Drosophila melanogaster: one gene and its partner. The gene in region 1 interacts genetically with each later gene. Each region holds a gene or a part of one and is shown in the gene's direction. Other genes may lie near its edges. The genes, in order: I-2 and NiPp1.

Region 1 (3,925 bases):
AGGACCTATTCAACTACGAGGGCTGTAAGGTGGGACGCGGAACATACGGCCACGTCTACAAGGCGAAATGGAAGGAGACAAGGTGAACTGGTCATCGGGTGCTCTTCAAACAATATAAATAATTATAGTATTCATGTTCTTTAGCGATGGCAAAGAATATGCCTTGAAGCAGATCGACGGCACCGGATTGTCCATGTCCGCCTGCCGCGAGATCGCATTGCTGCGCGAACTGAAGCATCAGAACGTAATTACCCTCATCCGGGTGTTTCTGTCGCACAACGACCGCAAGGTGTTCCTGTTGATCGACTATGCGGAGCACGACCTGTGGCACATCATTAAGTTCCATCGGGCTGCTAAGGCCACCAAAAAGCAGGTTGTGGTTCCCCGCGGTATGGTTAAAAGTCTGCTATATCAGATTCTGGATGGGATTCACTATCTGCACAGTAATTGGGTGCTACATCGTGACCTGAAGCCGGCCAACATCCTGGTGATGGGCGATGGCAACGAGAGGGGCCGCGTAAAAATCGCCGACATGGGTTTCGCGCGGCTCTTCAATGCCCCATTGAAACCGCTGGCAGATCTGGATCCCGTGGTGGTTACCTTTTGGTATCGCGCTCCGGAACTGCTGCTTGGCGCTCGTCACTACACCAAGGCTATCGACATCTGGGCTATTGGCTGTATTTTCGCCGAACTACTCACTTCGGAGCCCATCTTCCATTGCCGCCAGGAGGACATAAAGACCAGTAATCCGTACCATCACGATCAGCTAGACCGCATCTTCAATGTGATGGGCTTTCCGCAGGACAAGGACTGGGAGGATATCAAGAAGATGCCGGAACATCATACGCTGACAAAGGACTTTAAACGCTCCACATACTCCACCTGCTCGCTGGCCAAATACATGGAAAGGCACAAAATAAAGCCAGACAGCAAGGCCTTTCACCTGCTGCAGAAGCTGCTGCTAATGGATCCCAACAAGCGCATCACCTCCGAACAGGCCATGCAGGATCAGTACTTCCAGGAGGAGCCGCAGCCCACGCAGGACGTGTTCGCCGGCTGCCCCATACCGTATCCCAAGCGTGAATTCCTCACCGACGACGACCAGGAAGATAAGTCGGATAATAAGCGACAGCAGCAACAGCAGCAGCAACAACAGCAGCAACAGCAGCAGCAACAGCAGCAGCAACAACAACAGCAGCAGCAGCAGCAGCAAATGAACGCTGAGCCGAATGCAAAGAGAGTTCGATTGTCCGGAGCTGGTAACCAGCAAGATTTTCACCACCAGCAGCAGCAGCAACAGCAGCAGCAGCAACAACAGCAGCAGCAGCAGCAACAGATGATGTTCAATCAGCAGCAGAACTTCCAGCGCTTCAACTGAGAGACTGATACATGCAGCATTTTTTCTACAACACCTACTAATTTCTAGCCTTCTAAGTATTTAATTTAATGACCTTGATAATAGCAAGTAAAGTGTACGATATAAAACGTTGATTTTTAATGGACAGGGTTTTCTTTATTTAATTTTGTGAACTCCAATTAACTCAAATTCGTTGAAATATCTTTCCGAAGGATATTCAAAAATAAATTTGAATGCATGTTCTTTCCTCTCAAAAATGAATTTCTCAAACGAAGTTTTGAAAACTATTTTTAAAATTGGTTCGAGTCTGAGCTATTTATTTAAAGCATGTTATGTTTTTGTGTCGGCTTGGGTCACGATACGCAAGTATCGATTAAATGTAATCGAAGGTGCCATCGCTGTGTTGCCAGCTCTAGTAGAATTTGTTAGAATATTTTACCGGATTTGCCATTTGCTTTGCAATACAAATTAGAAGAGAATATCCACACAGTGACCATTAAAGCGTAAAGAGCCAAATCTAACGTTTTCCAAATTAAGATCAAAACCGCCCGTCTGGCGACATCGATGAGATCGTGGCCCTCGCCCAAAACCCAGCTGGCTGCCAACTTGAAGATTGTGGCGTAAATTGCCCTCCGGAAACGCAGTTGCAATTGCAGTTAACAGGCGAAAGTCACACAAGTAAGTGGGATTCGGAATGGAGGCGGTGGTGCAGGCGGAGGCGGACGACAACAATGCGTCGGATGTCCAGCGGGGTGTTGGTGGGGCATTGCTGGCCGTAGTGGCCACCCAGTGGGCGGCAATGGCAACCCCTCCAAGGGCACGAGGTTTCGCCGCGACCTGTGCCATTATAATCTGGCGAACATCGCGATTTCAGTGCCTGTTCGGCTACTGCCGCCGTGATTCACGATTGTCCAGCAGCAACAGTGGCAGCAGCAACAGAAACAACAACCATAAAATCTACGAAATCATCAATGACTCCCAACCGCCTGACGTAATTATCCGCGTGCATTGTTCGCAACTAAAGCACACTCTGGTCTTTGCCCATTGTTACAGGTAACACAGATAGCCAGGATGCAGAACAATCCCAGCCCACAGCTACCCTGCAAGGGTATACTAAAGACTTCGCGTAGCTTCGACAAGTCGGGAGCCAGGTGAGGTCATCGAATGACCCCAGTTAATAGCCCTTATTAATTGGTTTCTTTTTCATCCTTTTAAAAAGTTTTCGCAAAAGTGCCAAGTTCGATGAGCTGAACGTGATGCAGACCTTCCATCCGGCCGACAAGGACTACGGACACATGAAAATCGATGAGCCCAAAACGCCGTACAACTACACGGAGGGCTTCGACGAGAACAGGGACGAGCTGGACACGGAGTTGCTAGTGGAGAAGTATGTGGAGCTTTCCTATTGTTTACTTGCTAAATGGTTTGGCAAGAGCACAGAGTATCAAGTTTCAAACAAAACTGATTTCCAGAAAATGCGCCGTTCACATTTGTTTGTTTACATGTGACTTATAGATTCAGAGATTAAACAATCGTTGATAATTATACGATTTGCAAAATGATAATCAAATATATCAACATTATTGAGCAATATGACTGCCTCAGATTTCTTAAGAATATAACTAGCTAAATTCATAATCAATAATTTGTTTGAAAAGAAAAAGTTTTTTTTGAAATTTGAAGACTTATTTTAAAGCCGTGCCAGTCATTTTGTAGTTTACATATTATTGCACTTACAATTACTAAAAACACATACTAATTTGCAGACTCCGCATAGCGGCTAACACACAGCCGTCGACAGAGAGCATCGAGGACGATGGTTCCTCCGGTGATGACCAGCCCCTTAGCGAAGAGGAGCGACGTAAGTACCATGAACATCTCAGATTCCAACAATTGCTCAAACATATTTGCTTGCAGAACGGCGGCGCGAATTCGAGCGACGCCGTAAGGCCCACTATCGCGAGTTTGAGGCCGTCAAACTGGCACGAAAACTGATCCAGGAGGAGGACGACGACGATGACGACGAGGACAAGGGTGCGGATAGCCGGCCCTCGGGCTCGTCACAGGGCGCTTCCAGCTCCGGACGTTTCGCGAGCAGTTCGACCAAACGGTCGAGCTCTCAGGCTGACTCCACCACATCCCCGTCTACCAGCGCCGGCCAGAACATGGACCTGGAGCCATCGAATAACTAGAAGCAATGTCAACCCATCAATCAATCACTAATGTTTACCTAGCGGACAATGGACGATTCTGAGGGCAGCTCATCCAAAACAATAAACAAACGAAATTATATCAAATTATCAAGTGCTGTGCGAGTGCGGAGTGAGAAGTGGATGCTGATTAGCAGGGTGGCGAGGAGCACTCGTGATTAATTGAATTTACCCAACTAAACACAAAAAACAAACCGTCGCCAAGGAGATGCGTCATCGAGTAGTGAACACAGCCGATAAGCCGAGGGGCACTTTATTGTTGCAAATTGAGTTTAGAGCACAAAGAATGTGCACCTGGTCGGAGAATTTGATTGTACGACACAAAATATAATTAATCGTATGCGTCTCAGCCGTAGCG
Region 2 (3,925 bases), on another chromosome or scaffold:
TCAACAGTTTAGTGTACAAAAATACATTTGTTTAATGCAATCAATCGTTAAATTAATATCGTCTTAATTGAGTGATAACATATGTATGTATATATACTCGGAAGCTGCATTATTTCCATGGATCACTTGAGAATTGCTTAAATGATTGCTAAATTAGCAGAGATTTCATCACATTGTACTTGATATTATTTTCGTTTCTCTTGTTCCTTCTGAAAGGAAGTCTTTTAATTACTCTACAACTCGTCTACGCATATAATCTAAAAGCATGCAAAGAGATTTAAAAGTTCACAACTAAGTGACGTCATGACGGCGCTACCATTGCTCTAGTTCAGCGATAAATAACTACAAAAGAAGCGAAATCAAAGTTGAGTATAGGACACAGCTACAAAAACAACAAATGCGAAGGATAGACTAACATTTGGCGTCGCCGGAGATGAGGCAGATCCGTGCGTCATTTCGTGGAGCTCCTCGTCGGTGTAGGTCTGGTTGGCAGCCTCGACCTTGTAGTTGAATGTCGCCGATACGGGCTTGTGGTCGGAGAGAGTGTAGTCCATGTGGGACTGATAAGACAGCTGGTTGGCACTCAGGGTAATGCCCGGATAAATGTTGCTCTGCACGCGATGCAAAATCCGATCGCACCAGGCGGGTCGCCGCTTCAAGTTGTAGTCATTAGTGCCTTCCACGAACTGCAAGGAAAATCAAATGAACTTTATATGGGTGCTAGAGATAAGGCGAATTAATTACATTCGACATATTGCCTCATAAATTAGTTGGATTTTGCTTTTCTCATGAAATCTGTGGAGCCGAATGAAGTGATTGATTGATGAAGTGATTGGCGGAAATTAAAAATTCAAGTGCAGATAAAATTAATTACACCCACCCCTATATACATTATTTAGATTAAGATTAGAAAGTTCAAGGCAAACTTTGACTGTAGAGATAATAAGATTGTATATTAGATTGTTACCTTAAAAGTGGGCGCAAAGTTGGGCTGCTGCTCCTCCAGCAAGCTGAAGGCGTTTCCCTTCTCCCGGAGCAGATTCAACTGGTCGAGCTTGAGCAGATCAGCGTATCGCTGGTTCTCCACATCCGTGCGGACATCCCAAGCGGACATATCGCCGGAGAGACGGAAGTTAAGATCGCCAAACCAAAAGACAAAGTCGTGATCGAATATCCGGCGATATCCCTGCGCATTGTACTTGTGATTGTCCACGATTTGGTGATAGTCTTCGATGCGCTCCTTCAGCTTCTCATCGTGCGCCGCCAGATGGGAGCAGACGAATGCGACGCCAGTTCCGTAGAGCGAAAGTCGAATGCTTACGGCACCCTTGTTGCCCCACAGCCCTCCAAGTCCCGTGCGCGTGGCTTCTGTCTCGATTTCTTTCATGTGCGGGATGTGCTTGTGCTGTGCGAACATGGTTATAAGAATTCCCTGCAGCTGCTTCGAGTCCACCTTTACGAACTGGTGATCGCTCAGAGAGTCCGCGATCTTCAGCACCCACGGATCGTCATTGAAGATTTTTAGCACCTGCGGTGTGGTGCTCACCTCCTGGAATCCGATTACATAGATATCGGGCAGCTGGTTATCCGGACAAGTGGTGGTGCCATTAAGGGACAAAAGGGAGCTCAGATCCTGATTTCGCGGCGTATGGGTGCCCACGTTCCAGGTCAAAAGGAAGATGCACAGATCCGCAATCGCCGTGGCCGTAACCATTTTTCCGCCGTCTAATTATCTATGATTAATACTTGTTGTTTTGGACGTCACAAGGTGGCTGTTGATGAGTTCATGGGCATCCAAAACAGGTTTACGGATTTGGCAGCATCAGCAAATAAAGCGAAAGGCGTTTTGCACACGCAACTTTCATTTATGTAACCGTTAATTCTTCAGCACTAATTTTTTAAGCCGCTTTAATTGGACTAGGAAGCGCTAGTTGCCCGTATTATTTATAGAATACTCAGATGTCGTTATTTATGTTTATTTGTCCGTCCGTTGCGTGAGCTTAGTGTGACCGCAGCACAACTATTTAAATATACCTTAGGCGGCGGCAAAAATTTTATGGTATCTCGATAGTAACGGAGCTCTGAAGCTCATCGAAAACATCGGCTAACATGAGCTTCTCATCTAATTTAGATTTTTATTTGAAACACATTAGATATTATAAAAGCCAAAAATCAATTTAAGAAATATAAAGATATAAGATTAAAAGTTGTACTGTGCGTAAGTTCCTTTAAAATAATAATACTCTTATTTCATTGTTTTTTTTTTTACGCGAGAATGCCCCTTTGCATTTGCTTGTGCTAAACCGATATTATCGGCAACTAGTCAATTGTGTGTACACACTGGCTAAGGATTTTTCATAAAAATAAACACTTTGTATAAACTTACCTTCCGAACTATTTTACTTAAGTTAAAAGTATGGCTAACAGCTACGACATACCCAGTTGGTGCGTTGTCAAATTCAGCCGCTGCCTTGCCACAAAATCACGTAGCATTTTATTTATTTTAGGGCTGGAAAACCGCCCACTGGCTTACATCTGGATGTGCTAAAGGACGACAAACTAGTACAAAAACTGATGGTGGATGAAAAAAGATGCTATCTATTTGGTCGCAACAGTCAAATGAACGACTTCTGCATAGACCATGCCTCTTGTTCGCGGGTCCACTCGGCGTTTGTCTACCACAAGCACCTCAACATAGCCTACCTCGTGGATCTGGGGTCCAGTAGGTACTAAGATATCTGGGATTCGGAGTAAGCTTATCCATTTACTTTTGACAGCTCATGGCACCTTTATTGGAACACTCAGATTGGAAGCGCACAAGCCCACACAGCTGCAGATTAATAGCACCTTCCACTTTGGGGCTTCTACCCGGAACTACATACTCAGGGAACGACCCTCTGGCCACCACAGCAACATCATGGAAGACCTGCCGCTCAGTGAAACCAGCGATGGAGCTCTCCTGGGCCTACCCGAAAGCCAAACGGAGCTTGATGTGCGTTTGGTTGAAAAGAAAAGCTAAATACTATGTAAACTAACCTTCCATTATCCTGCAGAATCTCACAGAATACAACACAGCCCACAATCGGCGCATCTCAATGCTGGGCATCGATGATGATACCAATATGCGAAAGCAAAACGCCTTGAAACAGGGACGGCGCACTCGAAATGTCACATTTAACGATGAGGAGATTGTCATCAATCCTGAGGATGTGGATCCTAATGTGGGACGCTTCAGGAACTTGGTACAAACCACTGTGGTGCCCGCCAAGAGGGCTCGCTGCGACGTCAATCATATGGGCATCCATTCGGGCAACAGCAGTTTGTCCAGTGCCAATGCCGCACATGTACACCAAATGTTCCAGCAGAGCCTAGTTGACATGAAGCAGCAGCATAGGGAAATGCCTCCGCCCAATGCGGTGCTCCACTCGCCTACTAATTCCCTATATCAAGGTCTACCGGCCGAAATGCATGGCAAGGGTGACCTAGAGCCCATCTCCCCGCTGAGCATTGGTTCCAAGTTGGGCCTATTGCTCCCGAATCCTGCGCCTGAAGTGCTGCCAGTCTATGACGAAGCTGTGGAGACCTCGACATTGGCTCAAAAGTTGGCCGTCGCTAATGCAAACGGTAATAGTTCTCGCGACTATTTGTTTAAAAACTTACTGATTGTTTATAACACCATTTTAGTTCGTCGCTTTGGTGAGGATCCGCATGACTCGAGTGGCGAAGGCGATTCGCTGTGCCCACAGAAAAAGAAATACGCCAAGGAAGCATGGCCAGGTCGCAAGCCCATGTTGGGGCAGCTGTAATTGCGTATTAACAAAATAATTAAGATTCCACCTACGATTTTCTCAAGCATATGATTGACAACACACTCTGGAGTAATATTTGTTTATTAGACTTTTAACGTAAAACAAAACATTTAATA

Evidence for each region.
Region 2: of I-2 (region 1) and NiPp1, changing one enhances a phenotype caused by changing the other (phenotypic enhancement), as found in Drosophila melanogaster (one study listed by BioGRID).

What each region holds. Positions count from the first base shown.
Region 1 is NT_037436.4:9,834,632-9,838,556, reverse strand, and holds the start of I-2 (Inhibitor-2), read left to right. Parts: upstream 1-2,051; coding exon 2,052-2,348; intron 2,349-2,410; coding exon 2,411-2,508; intron 2,509-2,576; coding exon 2,577-2,744; intron 2,745-3,123; coding exon 3,124-3,218; intron 3,219-3,274; coding exon 3,275-3,549; 3' UTR 3,550-3,925. Other genes in the region: Cdk8 (Cyclin-dependent kinase 8), read left to right, coding at 1-82, 145-1,378.
Region 2 is NT_033778.4:17,003,550-17,007,474, reverse strand, and holds NiPp1 (nuclear inhibitor of protein phosphatase 1), read left to right. Parts: upstream 1-2,325; 5' UTR 2,326-2,416; coding exon 2,417-2,445; intron 2,446-2,507; coding exon 2,508-2,722; intron 2,723-2,777; coding exon 2,778-2,992; intron 2,993-3,053; coding exon 3,054-3,624; intron 3,625-3,684; coding exon 3,685-3,806; 3' UTR 3,807-3,912; downstream 3,913-3,925. Other genes in the region: CG6805 (uncharacterized protein), read right to left, coding at 360-686, 968-1,714.